Stegostoma tigrinum: one gene and its partners. The protein of the gene in region 1 interacts with the protein of each later gene in a pairwise test. Links are inferred from orthologs where the notes say so. Each region holds a gene or a part of one and is shown in the gene's direction. Other genes may lie near its edges.

What was found.
Region 2: the proteins of ube2kb (region 1) and rnf5 interact in binary tests that used the Homo sapiens proteins (3 or more experiments, as listed by UniProt). The link is inferred for Stegostoma tigrinum from reciprocal best matches to the Homo sapiens genes UBE2K and RNF5.
Region 3: the proteins of ube2kb (region 1) and siah1 interact in binary tests that used the Homo sapiens proteins (3 or more experiments, as listed by UniProt). The link is inferred for Stegostoma tigrinum from reciprocal best matches to the Homo sapiens genes UBE2K and SIAH1.
Region 4: the proteins of ube2kb (region 1) and rnf32 interact in binary tests that used the Homo sapiens proteins (3 or more experiments, as listed by UniProt). The link is inferred for Stegostoma tigrinum from reciprocal best matches to the Homo sapiens genes UBE2K and RNF32.

What each region holds. Positions count from the first base shown.
Region 1 is NC_081354.1:98,591,536-98,598,690, forward strand, and holds the start of ube2kb (ubiquitin-conjugating enzyme E2Kb (UBC1 homolog, yeast)), read left to right. Parts: upstream 1-4,134; 5' UTR 4,135-4,241; coding exon 4,242-4,304; intron 4,305-4,347; exon of another isoform or gene 4,348-4,411; intron 4,412-7,155. UniProt on the Homo sapiens protein: Accepts ubiquitin from the E1 complex and catalyzes its covalent attachment to other proteins. In vitro, in the presence or in the absence of BRCA1-BARD1 E3 ubiquitin-protein ligase complex, catalyzes the synthesis of 'Lys-48'-linked polyubiquitin chains.
Region 2 is NC_081387.1:28,190,977-28,198,093, forward strand, and holds the start of rnf5 (E3 ubiquitin-protein ligase RNF5), read left to right. Parts: upstream 1-4,114; 5' UTR 4,115-4,147; coding exon 4,148-4,299; intron 4,300-7,117. UniProt on the Homo sapiens protein: Membrane-bound E3 ubiquitin-protein ligase that mediates ubiquitination of target proteins. May function together with E2 ubiquitin-conjugating enzymes UBE2D1/UBCH5A and UBE2D2/UBC4.
Region 3 is NC_081369.1:29,621,468-29,629,298, forward strand, and holds the start of siah1 (E3 ubiquitin-protein ligase Siah1), read left to right. Parts: upstream 1-4,811; 5' UTR 4,812-5,241; intron 5,242-7,831. UniProt on the Homo sapiens protein: E3 ubiquitin-protein ligase that mediates ubiquitination and subsequent proteasomal degradation of target proteins.
Region 4 is NC_081355.1:140,737,979-140,745,661, reverse strand, and holds the start of rnf32 (RING finger protein 32), read left to right. Parts: upstream 1-4,682; 5' UTR 4,683-5,066; intron 5,067-7,683. UniProt on the Homo sapiens protein: May play a role in sperm formation.

The sequences.
Region 1 (7,155 bases):
AAATAAGGCAGTGACGTCAAACGATATCACGGTCTCTTTGACATCCATCCTTATGTCTTTGATGGAGTTGAGGAATTCTTGGGCTGAGTGGATAGAGTGGGGTGACTTGTTGACTAGGTACCTGAATCTCCTTTGTAGTTCCTTGGCTAATCTATGTCATGGAGTGCCTGGTAGGGAGACTATGGGTCTGAGGGGTACTTCTGGCTTGTGCACTTTAGGGAGGCCGTAGAATTGGGGTGTGTTGGTTCCTTTGGGTTTCATTCTTGAGCAGTCTGCTATGTTGATCTGTCGTGTTTGTTTAAGTCTTTTTAGTGTGTAGAGGATTTTGTTGCCTAGTTGCAGTGTTGGGTCAGTTTGTACCGGCCAGTATGTATTCTCATTGGTGAGCAGTGCATGTGCCTTGGAGATGTAGTCCCTTTTTTTCAGTATCACTGTCATGTGCCCTTTGTCTGTGGGTAGTATTGTCATGTTCTTGTCCTTCTTTAATCCTTCCAGGGCCTGTCCTTCCCGTGTGTTGACTATTGAACACAGGGCAACAACACACTGCAGCAACACGGAACTTTGCCAAGAGGAAGAAGAATACCTCTTCCAGGTTTTCAAGGATAATGGATATCCAAAAAACTGGGTCAGAAGATGCCTACATGAACAACATCAGAAAGATACTACACACCCTGACACACTCATCACACTACCCTACATCAGGAATACGTCAGAACTCACCACAAGACTCTTATGACCGCTGGTCATCACAGTGGCACACAAGCCCATGTCAACCTTTCGACAACTGCTCACCTGAACTAAAGACCCACTCCCGCCATGGACAGGACCAACGACATCTACAAGATCCTCTGCAGTGACTTTGAGAAACAGAACATCGGAAAAACAGGAAGGAAACTAACAACAAGAGTACATGAACACCAACTGGCTACAAAATGATGTGACCAGTACTCACTCATCTCAATCTACATGGACAAGGAGAGCAGAGATAATGGGAACTGCAGATGCAGGAGAATCCAAGATAACAAAGTGTGAAGCTGGATGAACACAGCAGGCCAAGCAGCATCTCAGGAACACAAAACCTGATGTTTCGGGCCTAGACCCTTCATCAGAGAGGGGAATGGGGAGAGGGTTCTGAAATAAATAGGGAGAGAGGGGGAGGCGGACCAAAGATGGATAGAGGAGAAGATAGGTGGAGAGGAGTGTATAGGTGGGGAGGGGATAGGTCAGTCTGGGGAGGACGGACAGGTCAAGGGGGCGCGATGAAGTTGGTAGGTGGGAAATGGAGGTGCGGCTTGAGGTGGGAGGAGGGGATAGGTGAGAGGAAGAACAGGTTAGGGAGGCGGGGACGAGCTGGGCTGGTTTTGGGATGCAGTGGGGGAGGGGGAGATTTTGAAGCTGGTGAAGTCCACATTGATACCATTGGGCTGCAGGGTTCCCAAGCAGAATATGAGTTGCTGTTCCTGCAACCTTCGGGTGGCATCATTGTGGCATTGCAGGAGGCCCATGATGGACATGTCGTCTGAGGAATGGGAGGGGGAGTTAAAATGGTTTGCGACTGGGAGGTGCAGTTGTTTATTGCGAACCGAGTGGAGGTGTTCTTCAAAGCGGTCCCCAAGCATCCGCTTGGTTTCCCCAATGTAGAGGAGGCCACACTGGGTACAGTAGACTACATTGGCAGATGTGCAGGTGAACATCTGCTTAATGTGGAAAATCATCTTGAGGCCTGGGATGGGGGTGAGGGAAGAGGTGTGGAGGCAAGTGTAGCACTTCCTGTGATTGCAGGGGAAGGTGCCGGGTGTGGTGGGGTTGGAGGGGAGTACGGAGCGGACAAGGGAGTCATGGAGACAGTGGTCTCTCTGGAAGGCAGACAAGGGTGGGGATGGAAAAATGTCTTGGGTGGTGGGGTCGGATTGTAGATGGCGGAAGTGTCGGAGGATGATGCATTGCATCCGGAGGTTGGTGGGGTGGTACGTGAGGACGAGGGGTTTCTCTTAGGGCCGTTATTGTGGGGGCGGGGCGTGAGGGATGTGTTGCAGGAAATGCGGGAGACACGGTCAAGAGCGGTTTCAACCACTGCGGGGGGTGTAGGTTGAGGTCCTCGAAGAACGCGGACATCTGGGATATGCGGGAGTGGAATCCTGGGAGCAGATCCGGCAGAGGCGAAGGAATTGGGAATAGGGGATGGAATTTTTGCAGGGGGCTGGGTGGGAGGAGGTGTATTCTAGGTAGCTGTGGGAGTCGGTGGGCTTGAAGCAGACATCAGTTTCTGGCTGGTTGCCTGAGATGGAGACAGAGAGGTCCAGGAAGGAGAGCCACCATTTCAACTGGGACAATACCAAAATCCTGGGACAAGCTAGGCAGAGACAGGCACAAGAATTCCTAGAAGCCTGGCACTCCAGAAAGCAAGCAATTAATAAACATATTGAACTCAACCCCATATACATTTCACTATGAAGGAAAACCGGAAGTGAGGCAATCCATCTCAATGGACCCCAGAGTTTAAACACCGATGCTTCATCTGAGGCTGCACTGAGGATGTTACCCAGCATGGTAACGAAAGACTGCGAAACAAGAAATCAGCTCAGCAAGCCAACCAACCTCAAAAAACTTTAACTTTTATGGAAGGATTATCCCTTGCCATAAACATTTTAAAACTAATACAATTATGATCACTAGACTCAAGTGTTCCCCCAGAATCATCTCAGACACTTGCCCTGCCTAATTACCCAAGGAGTCAAAGATAATGGAAACTGCAGATGCTGGAGAATTCCAAGATAATAAAATGTGAGGCTGGATGAACACAGCAGGCCAAGCAGCTGCTCCTGAGATGCTGCTTGGCCTGCTGTGTTCATCCAGCCTCACATTTTATTACCCAAGGAGTCAAGTTTTGTTCCTTCTCTAGTAGGAACATTTACATATTGATAAAGAAAATTTTATTGAACACATTTAACAAATTCTTCACCATCCAAACCTTTAATACTATGGTAGTCCCAATCAATGCTTGGAAAGTTAAAATCCCCTCTTATTACAACCTTTTTATTCTGAGATCTCTCTACATACTTTTTCCTCAATTTCCTTCTGGCTATTGAGTGGCCCAAAATATAAACACATCACGGTGATCATTCCTTTCTTATTCCTAATTTCAATCCATATACTTTCACTGGATGAATTTTTGGAAATATTTTCTCTCGATACAGCACTAATGCTTTCCTCAATCAAAAACACCCCACACCCCACTCTATCCTACCTACAACATTGAGCTGCCAGTCCTGTCCTTCCCTCAATCAATTTTCTGCAATAGCAATGATGTCTCAACCCCATGTACCCAAACATGCCAAGCTCATCAGCCTTGTATTGAAATAAATGCAGTTTAATACTTCAGAGCTCCTTCTTTGTCTGACTTGTTCTTGCCTGTCTCTTCTAATTAGCTTGCTCTTTTCAGATTCATAACCATCCTTATGTATCTATTTACAATGCTACCTCTTTAATAGTTCGCAGTCTTCCTTAATAGAACTAGCACACCTCCCTGCCAGGATAACAAGGCGTAGAGCTGGATGAACATAGCAGGCCAAGCAGCATCTCAGGAGCAGGAAGGCTGACGTTTCGGGCCGAGACCCTTCTTCATTTCTGAACTCCACACCTGGAGAATTCAACAGCCAATTAAACTGAGTTTACAATCCAGAATGTGGGGAACATTAAAGAACATTACTTTCGAGCAGAGAATCATAAACAAACTACTTTCTGTTCACAAACGCCCTTGAAATAAGAGTGAGGCTTGGGGTTTGGGTGGATGCAAAGATGGACGTTAAGCAATGCATTACCCCAGCCCCCACCCCCTAAACATACGTAACATATCCTCCTTAGTGAGCCGCAATAACACACCAACAAGTCGGGGAAATCAGTGGGTGAGTATTATGACAGGTAGACCTTGCAGGGGATGTCATTTGACGCGGGTAAGGGATGAGGTTTGACCCTGTCCAGGTGTACACGGATCAGTAGCACGGAAGGCCTAAGTGTACTGAATGAAGATTACAGCCGAGCGGGCCCATATCGCTCCAACGTTCGCCAGTCAGCGACTGAGCCGCGAGCCCGTCACCGCCAGCCGCTCGCGCTTCTCGCCGACCCCATTCGCCCGACGGAGCTGTTGGAGTGCGCCTGCGCGGAAGCGCCGCCATTTTGGCCGTGCTGATAGTCTGATGTTGTAAGGAAGGCTGAGCCGAGGCCGAGCAGCGCGTCGCGAAATGGCCAATATCGCAGTGCAGCGAATTAAACGAGAGTTTAAGGAGGTCTTGAAGAGCGAAGAGGTAAGAGTTGCTCCCAACCTCACCTACGCTAATCTGTTCATACCTTCTTGGTTGACTGGCTGCGGACGGGAGAGGAGAGTGCGGGGAGTTTCATGGTGATGGACACGGGACCGGGTGATGGACAGGCGCCAGAGGCGGTTTCGGGAAAGTCCAGGGAGCCTTTGCGGGGCTTACTATAAGTCACTTTTTTAAAAGCTGCTGCAAATCTGCCGTTTATCAATGTCATAGCAATGGCGTGGTTGATGTGAAGCTCTTCAAATGCCGGATTTTTGGGAGGTCCGGGTGGTACCTTGAGCACTCAGGTTGTTGCTAAGCTTGTAGGCGTGTGACATTTTTCCACCACCATGCGAGACATCCACCTCCACATTAATTTTGTATACGGCTGAGTTCGTGGTGGAAGGAATTGAGATGAACGGTTTATTTCATGTTATTGCTAAGGTTTAGTCTAATGCTTTTCTTTGTTTAGAAACCGTATTGGTATCGGATGACATCGTCTCGTTAGGTGATATCTGGTTTCCACAATTGACATTTGGTTATTTTGCTGTGTTAACATGTTTTTCATTTCAGATATGCATTTACTTCACCACATCAGTTTTCTTTTAAACAAAAGGGAACGCAGGAATTTAGATCCGTGATTACGTTAAGCTAAACGACTATATAAAGTTTATCATAGTTATGAATTTAAATCTGCTTTAGACGTATTAAGTTGGTCAAAAATTAGTTATCTGCATATGGTTAGGCTCCAACTGACAATTTCTTTCCGAAGATTACAATTTTTTTTATCAGGTGTTGGTCAGTTTTATCATCTTGGAGTACTAATGCTAACTGTAGAACCTTACATAGTTTTCTGAAAGAATTCTACTTTTGAGCAATGTGCTCAGTCCCTACCTACTTTGAAAAGTTTTTGCAAATACCTTTTAATGTAGGTAGTAGATATGGGATTGCTTACATTAAAATTACATTAAAATACAACTCAGTTGTATTAAGTGTTTTGAACTATTTCTTCAAGGGTGTAATTGCATATTATTGATAACTGCAGATGTTTGATCAGTTATATGTTTACAAATAAAACATGTGACAGTTATGTTGTTCACTAGGATTTTATTTGATTTGTTTTCAGTATCTTCCTTATGATCTGATTGGGCCTCCGGCATGAGTGTGTCGCTGGTAAGGCCAAATTGCCTGGTCCAAATTGCCCTTAAAGATGGTAGGGTGCTGCCTGAGAATCCACGAATCATTCAATACTGAAGAGGCCCTTTGTGCCATCTAATCTGCCCTGCTGAAAATACACTACTATATACACTAGTCCTATTTTCCCATGCTAGGTCTATAGCCTTGAAGGTTATGAGCTCTTGAAGTGCCATCTAAGTACTTTTTTAAAGCTTGTGAAGTTTCCTACCTCACCAAACCCACCATGCAGTGTATTCCAGACTCTCACCATCTGTCTAGATGAAAAAGGTTTTCCTCAAATTCCCTCTAAACTTGTATTTTACTTTTAAAATTATGCCCCTTTTGTTATTGATTCTTTGATTAGCAGGAACAGCTGATTTTTCGTCGCCATGTCCATGCCCTTCATAATTTTACACACCTCCACTAGGTTTCATCTCAATTTCTGTGCTCAGAAGAAAACAACACCAGGTTATCCAACTTCTCTGCATAGCTGCAGTGCTTCATCCCTGGCAACATCCTGGTGAATCTTCTCTGCAGCCCCTCCAGTGTTATTACATCCTTTCTATAGTGTGGTGACTAGAACTGCATGCAGTATTCCAGGTGTGGCTTAACCAAGCTTCTGTAAAGCTTTAACATGATATCCCTGTTCTTATAATCATTGTCATGACTGGTGGACGCAAGTGTCCCATGTGCCTTTTAACTGTCCTGTTAATCTGTCCATCAGGGATCTGAGGACAAGCGCGCCAAAAATTCTCTCTCTTATTCTGAGCTTTATTGTGTCCTGCCATTCATTGGGTACTTGTTCCTTGTTCCTTCTTCCAAAGTACATCACCTCATGTTTGTTACTGTTAAATTCCATCTGTCACCGATCTGTCCATCTGACCAATCCATATCCTTCTGTCACCTAACACCTTCCTCCTCACAGTCAAACACCTAGATAATCTTTGTGCCATCTTCAAACCTACCCTATCAACCCCATTTTTGAATATCAAAAACAATAGGGTCCCAGTGCTGATCCTCATGGGATGCTACTGTACACTGGACTTCATTTACATAAACAACTTTCTATCAACACCAATTGGCTCTTGAGCTGCTACAGTTCATATGGTGTAGGTTCACCCATGATGACAGAAGCAGTTCCAGGATCTTGACCCAGCAACAATAGACACATATTGCCATTCTAAGTCAAAGTAGTGTGTGGCAGGGAGGATCTTGCTGGTGGTGTTCAACGCATCTGCGACCCTTATCCTCCTAGGTAGTAGAGGTTGCATGAATGGAAGTTGAAGGTCTTGTGGTGGTGGTTGGCATACACATTCTAAGTGTAATGCTACATCATCACTGTGCGTCAGTAGTGGGAAAATGGATATAAAGTAAGGGGGTTGCTTTGTCCTAGATTGTGTTGAGCTGCTTTTTAACTGTTTTGGATTTGCATTTGTCCAGGACAAAGCAGAGCTTTCCATCACCCTCCTCACTAATTCCTTGTTGGTGGAAAAGCTTTGGGCAGTCAAATTTTCAGTCACTTGTAGAATTCTGATCTGTTTTTATAATCGGTGTCTGATTGTTGGTCCCTGCCAGAATGTTGATGGCAGGAGTTTAGAAATGGCAATGCCATAAAACCCCAATAAGAAATGGCTAGATTCTGTTTGGAAATAATAATTGTCTAGCATTTGTAACACAAATG
Region 2 (7,117 bases), on another chromosome or scaffold:
TGATAAAGGCGTACAAAGTTCTGAGGAACATTGATAGAGTGGATTAGGGAGTAGTGTTCCCCCTCAGTAGATGCGTCAGTAACCAAGAAGCACTGTTGTAAGGAGTGGGAGGCTTAGTGGGGATCTGAGGAAGAATGTTTTCCCCCAGAGGCTGGTGGGGGATCTGGAACATATTGCATTTGAGGGAGAGAGAGGAGGGGCATTGAATAAGTATTCAGGTGAACAGCACAGCACATAAGGGGATGGGCCAAATGGCTCCAGCAGAACACTTGTGGCACTGCAGTAATGTTCCTGGAGAACCGGTTGTTCCAAACATGTGTCAAAACATCCATGAACAAGATCATTAGAAAATATCTCAGGGCTAGTATGGTTAAATGGGGTTAGAACAAATGGATGTTGGATGGCTGGTACTGGCTAAATGGGCTGAAGGGCCTGTTTCTATGCTGTTAAATACCCTACCTCTGCAAATCAAGGGCAATTACAGGCTTGCAACAACAACAACCGGTGAAGCCCATCTTCTCCCGGGACGCTGCAAGAGAAAGGTGACATGGAAATAAAGCTTGTTGTATTGTGAACCTCAGTTGTTGTTGTAGACCAGCCCCTTGCCGTCATCCGTTCGTCCCGCCCCAAACCCCCCGTTGCCGTCCAATCACCCTTTTCTCTTTCGCGATTGACAGCGATTCCATCCATTCGATTTACACCGCACACGAGCCCCGCCTCTCCGCACACGGATTGGAGGGCATTTATGACTGACGGGGCCTGTGTCCAATCAGTCAGACCAGTACCCGCACGCCCTCAGCCCCCGGAGATAATGGGAACTGCAGATGCTGGAGATTCCAAGATAACACGGTGTGGAGCTGGATGAACACAGCAGGACAAGCAGCATCTCAGGAGCACAAAAGCTGACGTTTCGGGCCTAGACCCTTCATCAGAGAGAGGGATGGGGAGAGGGTTCTGGAATAAATAGGGAGAGAGGGGGAGGTGGACCGAAGATGGAGAGTAAAGAAGATAGGTGGAGAGGAGAGTATAAGTGGGGAGGTAGGGAGGGGATAGGTCAGTCCAGGGAAGACGGACAGGTCAAGGAGGTGGGATGAGGTTAGTAGGTAGATGGGGGTGCGGTTCGGGGTGGGAGGAAGGGATGGGTGACAGGAAGAACCGGTTAGGGAGGCAGAGACAGGCTGGACTGGTTTTGGGATGCAGTGGGTGGGGGGGAAGAGCTGGGCTGGTTGTGTGGTGCAGTGGGGGGAGGGGATGAACTGGGCTGGTTTAGGGATGCAGTGGGTGGGGGGGAAGAGCTGGGCTGGTTGTGTGGTGCAGTGGGGGGAGGGGACGAGCTGGGCTGGTTTAGGGATGCAGTAGGGGAAGGGGAGATTTTGAAGCTGGTGAAGTCCACATTGACACCATTGGGCTGCAGGGTTCCCAGGCGGAATATGAGTTGCTGTTCCTGCAACCTTCGGGTGGCATCATGGTGGCACTGCAGGAGGCCCATGATGGACATGTCATCTAGAGAATGGGAGGGGGAGTTAAAATAGTTCGTGACTGGGAGGTGCAGTTGTTTATTGCGAACTGAGCGGAGGTGTTCTGCAGAGTGGTCCTCAAGCCTCCGCTTGGTTTCCCCAATGTCGAGGAAGCCACATCAGATACCTCTGCTTGATGTGGAAGTGATGTTCACCTGCACATCTGCCAATGTGGTATACTGTATCCACTGTACCCGGTGTGGCTTCCTCTACATTGAGGAAACCAAGCGGAGGCTTGGGGACCGCTTTGCAGAACACCTCCACTCGGTTCGCAATAAACAATTGCACCTCCCAGTCGCGAACCATTTCAACTCCCCCTCCCATTCTTTAGACAAAATGTCCATCCTGGGCTTCCTACAGTGCCACAATGATGCCACCCGAAGGTTGCAGGAACAGCAACTCATATTCCGCTTGGGAACCCTGCAGCCCAATGGTATCAATGTGGACTTCACCAGCTTCAAAATCTCCCCTCCCCCCACTGCATCACACAACCAGCACAGCTCATCCCCGCCTCCCTAACCTGTTCTTCCTCTCACCTATCCCCTCCTCCCACCTCCATTTCCCACCTACCAATCTCATCCCGCCTCCTTGACCTGTCCATCCTCCCCGGACTGACCTATCACCTCACCACCTATACTCTCCTCTCCACCTATCTTCTCCTCCATCCATCTTCAGTCCGCCTCCCCCTCTCTCCCTATTTATTCCAGAATCCTCTCCCCATCCCCCTCTCTAATGAAGGGTCTAGCCCCAAAACGTCAGCTATTGTGCTCCTGAGATGCTGCTTGGCCTGTAATAATGGGAACTGCAGATCCTGGAGAATCCAAGATAATAAAGTGTGAAGCTGGATGAACACAGCAGGCAAAGCAGCATCTCAGGAGCACAAAAGCTGACGTTTCGGGCCTAGACCCTTCATCAGAAAAGGGGCATGGGGTGAGGGTTCTAGAATAAATAGGGAGAGAGGGGGAGGCGGACCGAAGATGGAGAGAAAAGAAGATAGGTGGAGAGGAGAGTATAGGTGGGGAGGTGATAGGTCAGTCCAGGGAAGACGGACAGGTCAAGGAGGTGGGATGAGGTTAGTACTTAGGAGATGGAAGTGCGGCTTGGGGTGGGAGGAAGGGATGGGTGAGAGGAAGAGACAGGTTAGGGAGGCAGAGACAGGTTGGACTGGTTTTGGGATGCAGTGGGTGGAGGGGAAGAGCTGGGCTGGTTGTGTGGTGCAGTGGGGGGAGGGGACGAACTGGGCTGGTGTAGGGATGCAGTAGGAGAAGGGGAGATTTTGAAGCTGGTGAAGTCCACATTGATACCATGTGGCTGCAGGGTTCCCAGGCGGAATATGAGTTGCTGTTCCTGCAACCTTCGGGTGGCATCATTGTGGCAGTGCAGGAGGCCCATGTTGGACATGTCATCTAAAGAATGGGGGGGGGGAGTGGAAATGGTTTGCGACTGGGAGGTGCAGTTGTTTGTTGCAAACTGAGCGGAGGTGTTCTGCAAAGCGGTCCCCAAGCCTCCGCTTGGTTTCCCCAATGTAGAGGTAGCCACACCGGGTACAGTGGATGCAGTATACCACATTGGCAGATGTGCAGGTGAACCTCTGCTTAATATGGAAAGTCATCTTGGGGCCTGGGATAGGGGTGAGGGAGGAGGTGTGGGGGCAAGTGTAGCGTTTCCTGCAGTTGCAGGGGAAGGTGCCGGGTGTCGTGGGGTTGGAGGGCAGTGTGGAGCAAACAAGGGAGTCACGGAGAGAGTGGTCTCTCCGGAAAACAGACAGGGGTGGGGATGGAAAAATGTCTTGGGTGGTGGGGTTGGATTGTAAATGGCGGAAGTGTCGGAGGATGATGCTGCTGCTGCTGCTGCTGGGTTCACCCAGCTCCACACCGTGTTACCTCAGTCCCGGAACCTGGGAGCTGGGCGGATCGCCGACCGGTGTCCTTCCCGCTGCCGTCAGAATTCCAACCAATCATTCACCGAGAGCTACGATCGACAACAATCCCAACCAATGGCAAGAAGAAAAATAAGAGGGCGGAAGGTGATGGACGGCTACATTGACCAATAAGATAGTGACCGACGGGGCTTGGTCCAATGGGAGTCGGGGTTTGTTGATTGACGACGTTTAAGTCAATTTGGAGCCGACGTCTATCGGTGACCCGCCCCGGGGCGGTATACCATCCAATGGGAGCCGGGGTCTAGCGACAACCGCTTCCGCCTGGCTGATTGACGGCGGTGTAGCCGAATCAGATGGCGAATAACGGCCATGTAGATTAATCAGACGATGATTGACAGCAGCCTGTTGAAGGGAGCTCATAGTCGAGGTGTGACCCGGTCCTGGCGCACACCATGACCGTAGCGATATCCAATGGGAGCCCGTAACTACCTTTCCCCGCCTCCCGAGACCTGATTGACTGGAATATGATCCAGTCATACATCGATATTGGCCGCGTGTTTGAAACGAACGTTGATTGACGACAATATGTCCAATGGGAACCGTGCATCCCGCGGCAGCTCCCGCCCAGAGCCAGTGATCGACGGCAGACCAGCCCAATAAATACCGCTGTCCGCGCTGGGTCCGCCCCTAAGAAGGCGGGCCGTTAGGAAGGGGGCGGGACCTGCGGTAGTGTGGTGTTTGTTCAGTCATGGCGGCCGCGGCTGAGGGCAGCGAGAGGGCGGCGGCGGCGGGAGAGGAGCGGCCGGGGCAGGCCCAGGCCGACAAGGGCAGCTTCGAGTGTAACATCTGCCTGGACACCGCCAGGGACGCGGTCATCAGCCTCTGCGGCCATTTATACTGGTCAGAGAGAGGGGGGGAGGACAGGGGTCTGGGGCTGTGTGGGTGGGGGGCGGGGGGGTGGCAGGGGGCTGTGTGGGTGGGGGGCGGGGGGGTGGCAGGGGGCTGTGTGGGTGGGGGGCGGGGGGTGGCAGGGGGCTGTGTGGGTGGGGGGCGGGGGGGTGGCAGGGGTCTGTGGGGGGCGGGGGGGGTGGCAGGGGTCTGTGGGGGGTGGGGGGGGTGGCAGGGGTCTGTGGGGGGTGGGGGGTGGGGGTGGGGGGTGGGGGGTGGGGGGGGTGGGGGTGGGGGGGGGGCGGGGGGGGTGGGGGGGTGGGGGCGGGGTGGGGGGTGGCGGGGGCCTGCGGGGGGGGGGCGGGGGGGCGGCGGGGTCTGCGGGGGGGCGGCGGGGGGCGGGGGTGGCGGCGGGGTCTGCGGGGGGGCGGCGGGGGGCGGGGTGGCGGCGGGGGTCTGCGGCGGGGTGGCGGGGGTCTGTGGGGGGTGGGGGGCGGGGGGGTGGCAGGGGTCTGTGGGGGGGTGGGGGGCGGGGGGGTGGCAGGGGTCTGTGGGGGGGTGGGGGCGTGTGGGTGGGGGGCGGGGGGGGCTGTGGGTGGGGGGCGGGGGGGCTGTGGCGGGGTGGGGGGCGTGTGGGTGGGGGGCGGGGGGGCTGTGGCGGGGTGGGGGGGCGTGTGGGTGGGGGGCGGGGGGCTGGTGGCGGGGTGGGGGGCGTGTGGGTGGGGGGCGGGGGGGCTGTGGCGTGGGAGGGGCGTGGGGGCTGTGTGGGGTGGGTGGGCGGGGGCGGGAGGGGCGTGGGGGCTGTGTGGGTGGGTGGGCGGGGGCGGCAGGGGCGTGGGGCTGTGTGGGTGGGTGGGCGGGGGGCGGCAGGGGCGTGGGGCTGTGTGGGTGGGTGGGCGGGGGCGGCAGGGGCGTGGGGGCTGTGTGGGTGGGGGGCGGGGGGGCAGAGGGCGTGGGGGCTGTGTGGGTGGGGGGCGGGGGGGCAGAGGCGTGGGTGCTGTGTGGGTGGGGGGCGGGGGGGCAGAGGCGTGGGAGGGGCGTGGGGGCTGTGTGGGTGGGTGGGGCGGGGGCGGCAGGGGCGTGGGAGGGGCGTGGGGGCTGTGTGGTGGGTGGGCGGGGGCGGCAGGGGCGTGGGGGCTGTGTGGTGGGGGGCGGGGGGGCAGAGGCGTGGGAGGGGCGTGGGGGCTGTGTGGGTGGGTGGGCGGGGGCGGCAGGGGCGTGGGGGCTGTGTGGGTGGGGGGCGGGGGGGCAGAGGCGTGGGAGGGGCGTGGGGGCTGTGTGGGTGGGTGGGCGGGGGCGGCAGGGGCGTGGGGGCTGTGTGGGTGGGGGGGCGGGGGGGGCGGCAAGGGGCGTGTGGGGCTGTGTGGGTGGGGGCGGGGGGGGGGCGGCAGGGGCGTGGGGGCTGTGTGGGTGGGGGGGCGGCAGGGTTGTGTGGGTGGGGGGCGGCAGGGGTCTGGGGGCTGTGTGGGTGGGGGGCGGGGGGCGGAGAGGTCTGGGGGCTGGGCGGGGGGGGCGGGCGGCGTCCGGGGGCTGTGTGGGCGGGGGTTGGGTGGCGGCGGGCGGCGTCCGGGGGCTGTGTGGGCGGGGGCGGGGGTTGGGTGGGGGGGGCGGGCGGCAGGGTGGCAATGGGTCGGGGGGGGTGGAGTCTGGGGGAGGGGTTTGTCTGGATCTCAGTGGGGGGAGGGGTGACTTGGGTTGTGGAGACGTCTGAGAGATGACAGTTTGTCTGGGACATGGGGTTGGGGGGCATTTTGTCCGGAACATGGGGTTGGAGGTGGGGCGACCGTGCCCGAGCCGTGGGGTTGGAGGGTGGCGGGGGTGGTGGGTACTGTGCTTGGCTGGTAACAGGGTGCCTGGGTCTTGCAGGGCCCTCAGGAACCGGTGTCGGAGTCTGTGCAGGTTTGGGGGCACCTCTAATGTGATAGATCCAGTGGGGAGCATCACCCACCACACTGTGCTGTTCTCAGCAACTTCTACCACTCCACCCTGTCCAGACCCCACTTGGGGATTTCTGTCAGATCTCCCAAAGAGAGCAGCCCCAACTTCCCCAACCTGTCCTCATCGCTGATGTTACCCATCCCTGGAACTATTGTTGTAAATTGTTTTTGTTCTGTCTCTGATGTATTCACATCTTCCTGGTGATGTGGGACAGCCAACTGAGGCCCTTGTTAATGATCAGCTTACCGCTGTAACTCGTCTCTTCCCCTGACCTCCCACTTTAACAATCTCTGCACGTACACACCAGGGCCCTCTGCTCCTGCGCTCATCAGTTTGACCCTCCCAGCAGGACTTTGCACATTTTCATTACTGTCTGGGTATAGAGGTTTCCTCTCAATTGCTCATCATGTCTTCTTGGTCACTTTCCATTTAGGGTTTCTGTCTCCCTCGCTCTTCTCCACACCCCCTGCCTCTCCCTCTTACATACATACTTCTGTTTGCAGTTTGGCCCCTGCTGGCAGAGTCAGCTTTCCTGCAATCAGGTTGTTGTTAAGTAATCACACTATTGTTAATCATAGAATCCGTACAGGGTGGAAACAGACCCTTCGGCCCAACAAGCCCACAACGAACCTCAGAGCATCCCACCCAGACCCATCCCCCTATAACCCACCTAATCTACACCTCACTGAACACTACAGGCAATTTCGCACGGCCAATCCACCCTAACCTGCACATCTTTGGACTGTGGTAGGAAACCGGAGCACCCGGAGGAAACCCCCACAGACACGGGGAGAATATGCAAACTCCGCACACAGTGGAACCTGGGTCCCTGGCACTGTCAGGCAGCAGTGCTAACCCCTGTGCCACCCTACTGATGACACGCCTTCCCTGC
Region 3 (7,831 bases), on another chromosome or scaffold:
CAAAGTCTTGTGGAGTGAAACCTTTTGTGAAAAGGAACAAAACTCACCCAGGCAAAAAATATAAGATTCAGCCTGTCTTCTTATATTTAGAGGAAGGATAATGGGAAGGCCCAGTAGGTTTACTTAGAGATTATATAGAAATCTATAGAGATACACCCAAGGATAACACAGTGTGGAGCCGGAGGAACACAGCAGGCAAGGAAGCATTAAAGGAGCAGGAAAGTTATATTTTGGGTTGGGACCCTTCTTCAGAAATGGGGGAGGGGGAAGGGAGTTCAGAAATAAACACAGAAGGAGGAGTGGGGCTAGGAAAGGCAGGTGGGGTGGTGACAGGTGAGTGTAGGTAGGGCTTGGTGGGGATTGGTCAGTGAGGTAGGAGGAGCGGATAGGTGGGAAAGAAAATGGACAGGCTGCATCAGGTCAAGGAGGCAGGGATGAGGGTGAGAGTTGGTCATGGGATGAGGCCGGGGGTGGGGAAATTTTCAAATGGTACAGTCCGCGTTTAGGCCATTGGGCTGTAGGCTCCCAAGGTGGAATATGAAGTGCTGCTCCTCCAGTTTCCGGGTAGCATCAGTGAGACACTGGAGGAGGCCCAGGATGGACCTGTCACCAGGGAATGGGGGAAGGTGGGAGTTGAAATGGTTCATGACCAGAAGGTGTTGTCGTTTGTCATGAACAGAATGCAGGTGCCCTTCAAAGCGGTCTCCGAGCCTCCGCGTGGCCTCGCTGATGTACAGAAAGCCACATCAGGAGTAGCAGATGCAATAGATCACATTGACGGATATTCAGGTGAACATCTGTCTGATGTAAAAGGTTTGTTGATGCCTTGAATGCAGGTGAGGGGGGAGGTGTAGGGGCAGGTGTAGCACTTCCTGCGGTCGTAGAGAAAGATGCCAGGGGTGGTGGAGCTAGTGGGGAGTGTGGAGCAAATGAGAGAGTCATGGAGAGAGTGGTCCTGACAAAAGGCAGAGGGGGGTGGGGAGGGAAATATTTCTTTGGTTGTGGGGTCAGACTGTAGGTGGCGGAAGTGGCAGAGAATGAGACATTGGATACCGAGGTTAGTGGGGTGATATGTGAGGACAATGGGGTTTTTGTCTTTGTATTTGTTGGGGAGAGGGAATGTGAGGGCAGTGGTGCAGGAAACGCAAGAGTTGCAGTCGACAGCATTTTCAACCACCGACCAGGTAAGTTGCAGTCCTTGAAATAAAAAGACATCTGGGATCTTCAGGAGTGGAACACCCCATCTTGGGAGCAGACGCGGCGGAGACCCAATTCCTTCCAACCCTCCCTCTCATTCCACCTCCTTGACCTGACACGACCTGTCCATCTTCTCTCCCACCTATCCGCTCCTCCCACCTCACTGACCAATCCCCATCACTCCCTACCTGCACTCACCTATCACCATCTCACCTACCTTCCCCAGCCCTACTCCTCCTCTCTCTATTTATTTGAGCTCCCTTCCCCCTCCCCCATTTCTGAAGATGGGTCCTGGCCCAAAACGTCAACTTTCCTGCTCCTCTGTTGCTGCCTATCCTGCTGTATTCCTCCAGCTCCACACTGTGTTATCTCTGACTCCAGCATCGGCTATCCTTCCTACCTCCGAGTGAGATACACCCAGACAGGTGACGCTAGTTAAGGATGATGTGGACACTTTATTGGGAGACACTGGTCTCATGGTATTGTTCCTAGGCTAGTAGTCCAGAGGGCCCCAGACTAATGCCCTGACAACATGGGTTCAAACCTCACTATGGAAGATAAAACATCTGAATGCAATAAAAACTGTCATGAAAAACCTGTCTGGTTCACTAATGCCCTTTGATGCAGGAAATCTGACATCCCATAGCAATGTGGTTGGTTCTTAACTGTACTCTGAGCAATAAATACTGTAACAGCCAACATCCCATGAACAAATACAAAAATAAAATTCAGTACTAATAAAACAATAGACCAAATTTTCAGAGAACTGGCAATCACTTGTAGATTGCCACTTTGGCCCTTCTTTAGTGAAAAAACAATTTCACATTTCTGAGAGGAGATTCTAATCAGGACTCCTTCTGAAATGCAGACCTGTTCTTCTATTCCCGCCCCTGCCACAACCGCCCCCAGAGGATCCCCCTCGTTCTCACATACCACCCCACCAACCTCCGGATACAACGCATCATCCTCCAACACTTCCGCCATCTACAATCCGACCCCAACACCCAAGCTATTTTTCCATCCCCACCCTTGTCTGCCTTCTGGAGAGGCCACTCTCTCCACGACTCCCTTGTCCGCTCCACACTCCCCTCCAACCCCACCACACCCAGCACCTTCCCCTGCAAACGCAGGAAGTGCTACACTTGCCCCCACACCTCCTCCCTCACCCCTATCCCAGGCCCCAAGATGACCTTCAATGTCAAGCAGAGGTTCACCTGCATATCTGCCAATGTGGTATATTGTATTCATTGTACCTGGTGTGGCTTCCTCTACATTGGGGAAACCAAGCGGAGGCTTGGGGACCGCGTTGCAGAACACCTCCGCTCGGTTCGCAACAAACAACTGCACTTCCCAGTCGCGAACCATTTTAACTCCCCCTCCCATTCCTCAGACAACATGTCCAACATGGGCCTCCTGCAGTGCCACAATGATGCCACCTGAAGGTTGCAAGAACAGCAACTCATATTCCGCTTGGGAACCCTGCAGCCCAATGGTATCAATGTGGACTTCACCAGCTTCAAAATCTCCCCTTCCCCCACTGCATCCCAAAACCAGCCCAGTTCTTCCTCTCCCCCCACTGCATCCCAAAGCCAGCCCAGCTCGTCCCCTCCCCCCACTGCATCCCAAAACCAGCCCAGCCTGTCTTCGCTTCCCTAACCTGTTCTTCCTCTCACCCATCCCTTCCTCCCACCTCAAGCCGCACCTCCATTTCCTACCTACCACCTCATCCCGCCTCCTTGACCTGTCCATCTTCCCTGGACTGACCTATCCCCTCCCTACCTCCTCACCTATACCCTCCTCTCTACGTATCTTCTTTACTCTCCATCTTCAGTCCGCCTGCCCCTCTCTCCCTATTTATTCCAGTTCCCTCTACCCATCCCCCTCTCTAATGAAGGGTCTAGGCCCGAAACGTCAGCTAGTGTGCTCCTGAGACGCTGTTTGGCCTGCTGTGTTCATCCAGCTCCACACTTTGTTATCTTGGATTCTCCAGCATCTGCAGTTCCCATTATCACTGTACTTTTATTCTGTCAGTTCTTCTGTGCTGCAAAACTGTCACAGGAAGGAAATCCATGCTCCCTTTTCCTACCAGCCAGCTGCTGCATTCTGAGATTTAAAGGTCCAGACAGTGACTTTGGAAGCTGCTGTTAAATAGTGAATACATCAGATTAGAATAGGGTTATGGTGCTGGGAGTCAATGGTGACAGATAGGTAGGGGTTTAGAATGCTAGTATGCCAGACAGGAATGGTGCCACAAAAGTAGAATGGTAGAATGCCAGTTGTGGAATGGTGGAATGCCAGCGATTAGGGTGCCAGATAGTTAGTGGTGGGTTCCAATGCTTCAGGTAAATAGGATGGATCAGATGCCTGCTAGGAAGAGGTGGGATATTAGATGGGAAGGGGTTGGATGCTTGAGTTCGGTTGCCAGATGAGTAGGTGTTAGGTTGGCAGGCAGGTAGATTGTTGGGTATATGAAGCGCCTGCTGGGTAGGGAAGATGCCTAGCAGTAAGATGTCAGATGCATACGGATGGAGTGCAAGGTGCATAGGGTGCTAGCTGGGGAAATGGTACAGTGACACACATAAAATGCCTGAGCGGGATGGACTGTGGATGAGGAGGGGTAAGCTGCAAGGTAAGTAGGGTGCCAAGTGGGAACATGTCTGGAATTTGGCCAGGGGGCCAGGTCAGTGCTACAGTCTCGAGGGTACGGTGAGGAGGGTGGATGTCAGTTCTGGTGGGTTCAGGTCCAATGGCAGAATCTCCCTGCGTAACTCCCGTCTACGATGAAAATACAATTCTTTGGCCATCAGAAAAGCTGGCCTAACACCCTTTTGATTAAGCCCAGAAAAGCTTCTTAAAAGGGGTAGAAATTAAAATATAAAGAGTTACAAGTTGGTAATTTTTTTGCCATCAGTTAAAGACAATTTGTTTGCAAAATCTAAACGTTTTCTTGTTAAGTAGTTAGTTAAATGTAAAGTTATGGTTAAATACCAGTTTTAATCCTTTGTATTTCCCTCATCCCAACTTTCCCTGAAAATGGGTGACATGGCTGGTTTAGTGGTTAGCAGTGCTGCTTCATAGTGGCAGAGACCCAGGTTTGATTCCACCCACAAGTGACATTGTGGAGTTTGCACATTCTCCGTCTTTGCGTAGGTTTCCTCCGGGTGCTCCAGTTCACCCTCCCGCCCCCCAAAGGTCCAAAGATGTGCAGGTTAGGTGATTAGCCGTGGGAAATATGGGGTTACAGGGATAATATGGGTACGTCTGGATGACATGCTCTTCGAATGGTAGGTATGGACTTGATGGACCAAATGGCCTACTCCACACTGTCGGGATTCTGTGGTACAATACCTTATGAGTATTTTCATTTTACTTGGGTTTGCAATCAAATTAAATGGGGACCCTGGAGAGTTTAATTAATCTTTCTGTGAAGACTCCGGCAGAAGTGAGGTTTGATTTCCAATGCACTGCATTAGCGTGCCATAAAAACTATTTATTATATGTTACTATTAAATTTTGCCCGACATGGTAATCCTAGCTTTGACCAATCTTATCGTCCATGTATGTTCTGGTCCCTCCCATAATGTGGTGTTTTACTCAGTGATGTGTACCTCGGTGACAACAAGGTTGGTCTCAGCTCCTTCAGCACTTCCATCACTGACACGCCAGTTCACAGTCTTGGTCGTTGTCGTCACCGTCTGTGGACCAGGCTCGCGCGGGCTCTGGCTATTGCCGCTGATTGGCCCACCCACTGGAATAATTAGGCGCGCTGCGCAAGGGCAGGTGAGCGCGTTGTGGGGAGCTCGAGCGCGGCCGTTTGGTGCCGCCGCGCGGGAGCAGGAGGCGGGTGGTGGAGGCTGACAGTGGCGGGGGGGGGGGGGGAAAGAAAAGAGAAAGGAGCCGCTGGCCCACCTCGCGTCTGGAGTCGGCAGCGGGTCAGCCTTTGATCCATCTGTCCAGAGAGAGCAGGAGAGTGGGCAAGGAGTGCGACGCACACAATAAGCAGCGACGTATCTGGGTGCGACTCGAGTTTGCATTTTAACGCCGGTGAGTACAGTCAGAAATCGGACCTTTTAAAGTCGCCATAAGGCAGTGAGGTGGGAATCGAGAAGGGGAAGCTCTCTGTTCGCTGGGGAGGGCCATTGCGGCCAGAGTTAGTGCCGATGTTGCATGACTAGGGCAAGCCAGTCCGCCCTCCTGCTGCTTTGTCGTGTTTTATTCGGAAGGCTTAGGGCTCCTGGCCTTTGGCGGAGGCTGCAGTGGGAGCGGATTGTGTTGATTGTTTGTGCGGGAGAGGCCGCCGGCATGGCGAGATTTTAGTAGGCCGCGGCCCTCTGCTCGCTCTCCTACTCGCTATTGTTAGAAATGGCTGGGCTGTCCAGTTCGCTGGCGTTTTAATTTATTATTTACTCATTCCGACCTCGCATTGTTTAGAGCTACCCCTGCGAATGTGTCTCCTAACGCAGTTTTCTGAACGATCGCCAAGTCTTTGCGTTTCCGATCTGGTTACTTCCACCGTATTCTCTCAGCAGCTTTTATTTTTAGTTATTGTTTGTAGTAACACAGCGGGAAGGTAAACAAAAATGTTGGTTCTGGATTGTGATCCAGTACGTTTAGTCTTCTGTTATGTTTGATGCAATGGAAATGTGTGCAGGAGGGGGAAACTCCAACCACTGCGTCTTTGTTCCATGTTGACAATCGCTTTGCTGATAATATAATTTGCCACCGATCACGAGGTCTCAATCTGGTACAGTAGCTTCTGAAGCTATTCTCCAGTTAATTCGTGTGAATCTTTTCGTAGTCTGTAATAATACAGGCAGCCCCAACACTACGTATACGTTGACGTCTTTTAGATGTAGCAGGTGCAAACTAGGCCTGCTATAAAAGGATTTTCCAACAATATATTTTTCTTTTCACCTTGCCCCAATTGTAACTTTTAAACGCAACGTCTGTGTCGGAGTGTTATTTGGTTGCTTAGTCACTGCTGGGATTGAAGTATCTGGAGTAACCAGGTAAAGCACTTAAACATTGAAAAATTGTGTTGTAATGTAAATGGTGGGGCAGTGGTGATAAGGAAGGAGACGATAAGGCTGGCTTAGTATTTGGAAAAGTGAAAAATTGGCCTTTTTGGTAGGAATGCCCTGTCACTAGTTTACTGAATAGGTTTTTCCCCTCATCCTTCTAGCAGAGGATTACCTTTTTGGCCTAAATAAACCATACTTTCTTGTCCACCACTTCCTTTCACGGTTTCTGCACTTGACAACTTAATGCTTATTTCTGTCAAATTAATATGGAGGAATTGGTCAGTTCAGTTGGTTGAATGGCTGGTTTGCAATGTAGAGTGACACCAACATAAGCTCAGTTCTTCCACTGGCTGGAATTGCCATGAAGGATGCTACTTTTCAACCTCTTTCCCCTTTCCTGATGTGTGGTGATCCTTGAGTTAAACCACTGAGTCATCTCAGTAGTCTGTGGTCTTGTCATCTCATGATACTGAGGCAGTCCATGTTCAAATGCAATAAGACATGCACAATAGTGTGGGGTACGGAGTTGGTGTTACTGTTGATCAGAACCTCAACTAGACTGTCTTTGTCTTTTTTAAAATAAAAAAGACTGACTACAAAAGCAGCCCAAGCTAGGAATTTGGCAATGAGGAACTCATTCCCTGACTCCAAAGCCTGCCCATCATCTACAAAGCACAATTCAGTAGCATATTGGAATACTCCCCACTTGCTCGTGGGAGTATGACTCCAACAAAGTTCAAGAAACTTAAAGCCATCCAGTACAAATCAGCTCACTTGACTTGCCAGAGAACCTTAGACCACTTCCATCTAGATAGACGGGGGCAGTAGATATGTGAGCGTACCACCTGCAAGTTCCCCATTCTGATTTGGAAACATGTCGCTCAGTCAAATCCTTAGAATTACTTCCCTCATTGACATTGTGGACCTACTTAAAGCACCTCGCCATCATCTTCTCATGGGTTTCTAGGGATGGGCAATAAATGGTGGTCGATCCATGATGACTGTCATGTGAATTTTCTTTTAAAAACAAAAACTATGGCAACTTTATCTTTTTTAGTGTTGCAAAGAAGCACCTTCTATTGTTTCAACAGGCTGAAAGATCAGGTCTGCAGTCTCTGGGCCATTTTTATACTTAAATTTATTTCCTTGTGGGATTTGGGCATTGCTGGCTGGCCAGCATTTATTGCCTGTCCCAATTTGCCCTTGGGCAACTCGGGTTCTCTGGAAGGTACTTGTCCTTTCTACGCAAGTGTAATACCTGTCTCTTTCTTTTCTCACCACTCCCCAATGTTCAAAATACTCATGGTATAGACAGTAATTTACTTGGGCATCTTGCAACCTTGTAAACTCTGTTCACTGCTCAGTATGGTTTCCTCCACTGTAAAGAGACCAAAAGCAAGTTGAATAGCAGCTTTGCTGATCACTACCTGATCATGTTTCAGGTGCCAAGTGCTACCACTTTAATTCTGTATCCCACTTTGACCTGGGATTAGACTTATCAACCTCTTTTATATAACCACGTAACATTGGTAAGACCTCCTGACTGCTCTGAATAGTTTTGGTGGCTTTTATTTAAGGAGGGATATACTTACTTGGCTGGTTCTCTAGGGATG
Region 4 (7,683 bases), on another chromosome or scaffold:
CTGCCCTACCACATGTAGCCACGTAGACCTAGCAGCAGTCCCCAGCCCATATCTGGATGGCAGCATTAGGTCTACCTGCAGTACACTGACTGCAGTGACTCAAAAAGGCAACTTCCCATAGATGAGCTTTTTTTGGTTCTCATCTATTGCATTGTTGAATGGTCAGCAATACGAACAATACCTTTCAATGTAAGGGAACTACAACCAATATAAACGAAAGAATATCTAAGGCACTATCTTAAACTTGTAGCAGCGATACACATTCCTAATAATGATATCACTCAGATCACATAGCCGTTGTATGACATGCACTTAGGAGATTCAAAGTTTAAGATACAAAGTTCAACATTCTTCAAAGATTACATAATGGTAACAGTTGTGAAAATAACAAATATCTTTGGTTGCAAAGTTGGTGAAACACCCTATTAGTTTGCTTTGTCCAAGTGTCAACTTTACACTCTGTCACATCTCCTTTTATCACTGTAAAGCCAATGAATTATCATTTTTTAAAACTGCACATGAGTCTACAAAGTCATTATTACCCAAGTCATCATCAAACAATTTTGCTTTGGTAATGAACTTGTCATGATTGACCCTTGCATTGTAAGCACTAAGATTACTGAATCACGTACACAATGCTGGATCTATATGCTCATATTTAGAATAGTACTTTCTCTTTGAAGCCTGACCACTTTGTTCAACTGCCAGTCATTTCCCTTTCAACTATAAACATCACTTACAGTTGATCTTTTGGTTTCAGTTCTATGCTTCTCACTAATTTTACATGTAGTAACCTTTTGTATTGCCTCAGGATGTTCCCGTTTGAACAGGTAAATGTAGTGTTTGACAGCAACTGTCAAATTAATATTTCCCCATTTTGGTGGGTTCTGAGGGCAAATTTCTACAGGTGTCTGATACCTTTGCTTCGCAATTCTCCTCCTTATTAGCAATTGTCCACAGTACCACATTTTAATAAAGAAAATTCCATTCTTTCCAGGCAAATCACCAAAGTTATGGCTTCTGCTTCTGTTTCAAAATGATCACACTTTTCAACTTAAAATGTTCGAGCTTCATCGAGCGTATTCTAACAGCATTTGACTGCAGTACAGCCATAAATGTAGCATTTTGGGTGTACATCTGCATCACAATTAATTCTTCGCTCCTGACAAAAAGAAAAACAAAATAACATTCACCTGTCTTTAAAAGATGCCTTCTATATCAATGTAACTATTTCAATCATTCCATCCCACACCTAACTTCTGACTGTGGTTTGTGACCGGGCTTTGGGGAGTCAGGAGGTGAGCTACTCACTGCAGGATTCATTGCCTCTGACCTGCTCTTGTTGCCACAGTATTTACACAAAAGTCTAGTTCAGCTTCTGGTCAATGGTCACATCCAGGATGGTATCAGTGGGGTAATCTTGTGACGGTGGTGCCACTTTATGTCAAAGGCAGAGGGGTTGAGTTTCAGAGCCGTGATGTCATACTGCAACTGTACAAAACTCTAGTGCGGCCTCACTTGGAATATTGCGTGCAGTTCTGGTCATCCCATTACAGGAAGGATATGGAAGCATTGGAAAAGGTGCAGAGGAGATTTACCAGGATGTTGCCTGGTCTGGAGCGCAGGCCCTATGAAGAAATGCTGAGGGACTTGGGTCTGTTCTCATTGGAGAGAAGAAGGCTGAGAGGGGATTTAATAGAGACATACAAGATGTTCAGAGGATTAGATAGGGTGGACAGTGAGAATCTTTTTCGGAGGATGATGACATCAGCTTGTACGAGGGGGCATAGCTACAAATTGAGGGGTGATAGATTTAAGACAGATGTCAGAGGCAGGTTCTTTACTGAGAGCGTGGTCAGGGCATGGAACGCCCTGCCTGCCAACGTAGTTAACTCAGCCACATTAGGGGCATTTAAACAGTCCTTGGAGAAGCATACGGATGCTGATGGGATAGTGTAGGGGGATGGTCTTAGATTAGCTCACAGGTCGGTGCAACATCCAGGGCTGAAGGGCCTGTTCTGCGCTGTATTGTTCTATCTATATATAAGTTATATTATCTCCTGGTGGAGATGCTCATTGTGTGACACTTGTGAGGCAGGAATGTTGCTTGCCGCTTGTCAGCCCAAATCTGAATATTGTCCAGGTCTTGCTGCATTGAAATCACTGTCATCTACAAACATCATTGACCGTTACACTTCTTGGCTCACTCCGTAAGAACATTCATGTCTGGAAAAGGAAGGGGCCGGGTGCTGATTCTTGATGCAATTCAACACAATCATCAATGCTGATAAGTAAGCAGGTATCAGTGCCTGTTAAAAGGTAAAATAAATGGGCAGGGTTAGTGGCCAAAAGAAAATCCAGCTGTAAGAAATGACAAATCCAAATAATGGATGACCTCAACTTTGTGAAGGTGGGAAATGGAGACCCATTAGGTGAGCATTGGAATAGTCTCACGCTGGGCTGACAAGTGGAAGCTATCATTCACAACACATAAGTGACAGGTAAAGAGGATCTTGAGAAAATGAACGTCAAGCTATGTCTCTATGACCAACACTGGTACTAGCGCTATCAAAAACACCATCCAAAATTTGGGCGTCATGATTGTAAAGGAGCTGAACTGGATCAGATATATCAACATCAAGGCTCAAAGACAAGGGCCAAGGCTCACTCATCTATGATGAAAATCTCAACTCCTGACATCTCAGAACCTCTTCTCCACATACGTGGGTCCAGTCAGGCATGTGATAGCATTTTCACTTAGGTTGATGCAGCAGCAAAATCATTCAGAAATCGAAATATTATCTGGAATATAATACACTCGATCAGTGCTCCTGCCACTAGCGCTAGCATTCACCCTTCCAAAATCAGTAAATTGAAGCTTTTCTATCCATCACCATCAAGATGCACTGCAATAACTCTCCCATGGTTACTCTAACATCACCTACTCCAGTGCAAACATGAACATTCAGGACAAGACCTACTTTATCATGGAAACATCGTGACCTCTAAGTCACACAGTGTTTTGGCTGTGCGTAAAATGGTAGCACTTTAATATTGTAGTCAAAAGTCTTATTCCAGGCCTGGAATCTAAAACTGACAGCTTTACTGCAGTAATGAAGAAATACTGCATTGTTGAATGCCCAAAAAGTTTCTTGGGGAATGCCAGTTCAAGGCAAATCAATTTGTGGGCCCCCAGCCACTGCAACTCTCCAGTTTTTCCTTCCATTCCGTGAAGATAGGCTTCCAGGTCCACATTTGGTCCTGGTGCGGGTCCTCCCAAAGTGCAGGGTCCAGATTCGCCCACCCAAGGAGGGGAGAACAAGTAACACTTGCAAATGAACGCACTGGTTGTAATGGATCACTGCTGTGAGGTCTGCAGGACATGTCGGACTAGTATGCCTTATTTGCATGCTTTACTTTGTTATTTTTCTTTTTGACTGGAAACATTATTTCTTTTTCTCTCCACAGAAACTGCTGGACCTGTTGACTTTCTCCAGGACTTTCTGTATTTTTCAGTTTCAGATTTCCAGCACCCATAGTCTTTGCTTTTATTTACAACACCAGGAATCACTGGAAAAACTGAGAAGGTCTGGCAGCATCTGTGCACTGAAATCAGAGTTAATGTTTTGGGTCCAGTGACCATTCTTCAGGACTGACGGTAGGTAGGAAATAGTTGTTATTTATACAGAAGAGATGGTAGTGGGAGGGGGTAAGAAGTAAACAATAGGTGGAGATACAGCTGCTGTCACTCCCACAATGTGGTTTCCTCCACACTGGGGAAATGAATCATAGCCTGGGTGACCACTTCCCAGAACACCTGTAAAAAAGACCCTGAGCATCCCATTGCCTGCCGCTTCAACACAGCACCTTCTTCTCTGACCAACATCTCTGCCTCTGGCTTGCTGCAGTGCTCCAGTGAAGCTCAGTGCAAGCTGGAAGAACAGCACCTCATTTTCTGCTTGGGAATTGTACAGCCTTCTGGGATCTGTATTGAATTCAAAAACTTAAGGGCTGGAGCAACTTCTTCCAATGTCTTTACCTCTCCCCTCACACACCAGGCCTTGTTATCACAGTTGGCTATTACACACAACTCATTATTAGACACTAATATCAGTCATTCATTCTCCTAGACTGACCATTATATCCACTCCTTTGTCTGTCCAACTGTTATTCTTTTGCTTTGGGCTCTATCTCCACCTTCGTTTACTCCATACCCACTCCCCCCAACCTGTCTTCTGCTGTAAAATCAACTGTTTCGGAGCTACTATCAGTTCTGAAGAAGGGTCACTGGACCTGAAACCTGATTTCTCTCCATAGATGCTGCCAAATCTGCTGAGTTTTTCCAGCTATTTATATTTTTGTTCTGATTTCCAGCATTCGCAGCTCTTTCAATTTTTTAAACACTCTTATTTAGTTTGTTTTAGCTGATGTATTTAAATGAGAAATTTGTGTGCACCATTGCAGATCTCCAGATTCGAAATAAAACCTCTGCATTTGAAGTTACACCGAGACGTTTCTTATTTCGCCAGATGGGTCTCAAACTCAACTTGGTAAGAAAGGCTGAGCTGCAAGGTCTCTTGACTTCTTTTAAAATTAAAACAAAAGAAAACCGAATACACACAGCTACCAGGGGGATTGCTGCAAGTGGCAGCAGTTACTTAGCAACGGGATTCTGGAGGTTGAAGTCATAATTCAATCTCTCTCTCTAAAGAACAGTTTCGAAAAAAAACGATAAAAATTCATTTCATTCACCTGAACTGCAGAATACAGCATCGAGGGGACAGCAGGCTCCTGTAAAACTGGTTCAAAACTCTTTGGAATTGAATTCCAAGTGGGAAGCAAAAGTAAAATTAACAATATTCCAAAAATATGGAAGTACATGTTAAAATTGTTTTTAAAAAGCCTGAGATTTTCTTTTGATTGAGCGTTGGAGCTGGACCAAGAGCTCGGTTGCCAAGTAACTGCAGACGCTTCCTTCTGAAGTGTTTGGATCGCGGGCTGTGTCTGGCTTGGTTTTAATTTTAAACCGCGTTACAGACCCGACTGCTCGAGTTGGCGGAATGAAGGTGAGTATCGCTTAGAGCCTACTTACATATTTAGTGTGTGTTTCATAGAGATAAGCCGGCGGAAAGTGGAGACTGGCAGCGGAGGCTGCAGTCGTGGCCTAGTCTGGACTGGCCTCTCCTTCAAAGTGATCTCCCAGAGCCTCAGCCCCGCAGTACTAAGGCCCCCAAAGCCGACCATCTAACCCTGAAACCGACACCCTGACCTTAACAACAGATACCCTAATCTCAAAAGTAACACTTCATTTGTTACTCCCTGATCCCAACATAGATAGTCAAGTCCCAAAAGTAACAACAAATACCAGCCCTTAACACACTGCGACGAAAATACCAGCTTCAGCACTAATATCTAAATATTAACAATCAGACTGATACTTTGCCCCAAAGCAACACACATTGGAGGCGATAGGTTGAGTGGCTTTACCACTAGAGTATCCATCCAGAGATGCAGATAATGTTCTGGGGTCCTTTTATTTTAAAACCTGTCGTGGAAAAATCTGCATTTAAGTGTTTAGTGATGACCATGAAACCATGTGGATTGTCAGGAAAAACTTACCAAATGCCCTTTAGGAAAGGAAATCTGTTAGCTTTATCGGGTCTTGCCTTCGTGTTACTTCAGATCCACAGCAATGTGGTGGACTCTTAACTGCTCTCTGGGCAGTTAGGGGTGGACAGTAAATGCTGACCTAGACAGTAACACTCCCCTGTGAATGAAAAAAAATCACACACTGATACTTCACTCCAACAGTAGCAATCTAACTCCAAATTAACGCCTGAATAGAAACATCTTAATATGAGCATTCCTATCACAACACTTACACCCAATAATAACAAACTAACCCAACACATACACTCCATCACTAACACCCTAATGCCAACACTAAGCAGTGTCTTCATTAACAAAGAAAGCCACTTCTTGCATGTGTAGAATGATCTGTTGCATACCTTCAGCATATCTGTGGAGCGGAATTACAGTTTTTCATTGCTTTGCATATAATGGGCAAGGATGAGTTATCTGATTTTGTTGGTATTACCGTGTCCTTTTAACAGGCCTATTGTTGTTTGCTGCATGCATTCTTTGCCATCTGAAACAAGGCCATGACTAGAGATTGCTCCCTAGGTAGTTTTTATTTATTGTAAATCCTTCTCAAGACTGAGTCATGCTTCATTTCTTGAAATTTGCAATCAAGGCATTATTGAATCTTACTATAAGCCTACCATGTAGAGGGTGTCCTATTTTAAGTGTGAATATTCGAGATTTTATTGTCAATTATATGTGCTGTATGTTCAGTCAATTTGAGCTGTAACCTGATGATTAACACTTAATTTCCAGACATTTCTATTCTCGGTTGCTTTCTTTTGCCATTTAATGACCAAGACATTTCAAGTGCACCTTATGTGGAAACTGTTCAAATGCTTAATTGGTCTGGAGGAGGTGATCCATGTCTCAATGGCATATAGCAGGGTGGGTATTACTGCATCTTTGTACACAGCAAGTTTTGTTGTAGTTTTGATACCTTAGGTAGAATCCTATAGAGGTCTCTGCAATTTGGACTATGGCGAGACCTGTGGCAAAATCAGATTTGAAATACAGGAAGGCTTATCTCAACGTCAGGGGCCTCTCACTCTATCTTTTACGCTTCTGACACTTGTGGAAGTTTCTTGTGAAGCACCAGTGACTTACAAATTAAGGGTTGTTATTGCTTGTTAAACACCCTGTTAACAGCTCAACTTGCTTCACTGGCCTTCTGAGGAAGGGTCACCAGACCCGAACCGTTAACTCGGTTTTTACCTTCACAGATGCTGCCAGATCTGCTGAACTTTTCCAGCAATTTCTGTTTTATTTCCTGGTTTACAGCATCTGCAATTCTTTCATTTTTTTATTTAGTATTTGCCTCACTGGCTGCTTTGACCCCGATGGGGTCAAGCGTTTTGAGTGTTCTTGGAGCTGTGTTCATCCAGGCAAGTGGAAAAGGTTCCATTACACAGGGCAAATGTCAGTAACCATGTGAGGCAACTCACAACTGACGGCGCTTGTCCAGTACACAACAAGCCTTGGGAGGTGGTGTGGGTACAATGAATTCCGGGATATCACGTACTGGTGAGTTGTTCTGGGAAAATTGTGCGGTAAGATGGAACTGGAATTTAATACGAGGAATGTCACAGGGTAGGGTAAGTAATGAATAAAGCAAATTTGGTAAGCTATGGCGAGCTTCCTCACTTGACATTGTGGCGCAATCCTTCCAAAAATCAAGATGCATTGGAAGGTAGCTGCGATAATGGAAAATTCAACTCTTCATTTCCTCCTCAGTCTCTCTTGTAAATAGGCAAATGCTGATCTTACTCTGAATCACAAGGACACTGCTTCACATCAATTGTTATGTCAGAAGGGTAAGTGCATTCATTGCTATCATTGACTCTGGCTGCTTCAGCCAGAGAAACTTCTTTAGCCAGACAGTGGTGAATCTATGGAATTCACTGCCACAGAAGGTTGCGGAGGCCAGGTCATTGAGTATATTTAAGACAGAGATAGATAGGTTCTGTCAGAGGGATCAAGGGTTACAGGGAGAAAGTGGCAGAATGGGGCTGAGAAACTTATCAGCCATGATTGAATGGCAGA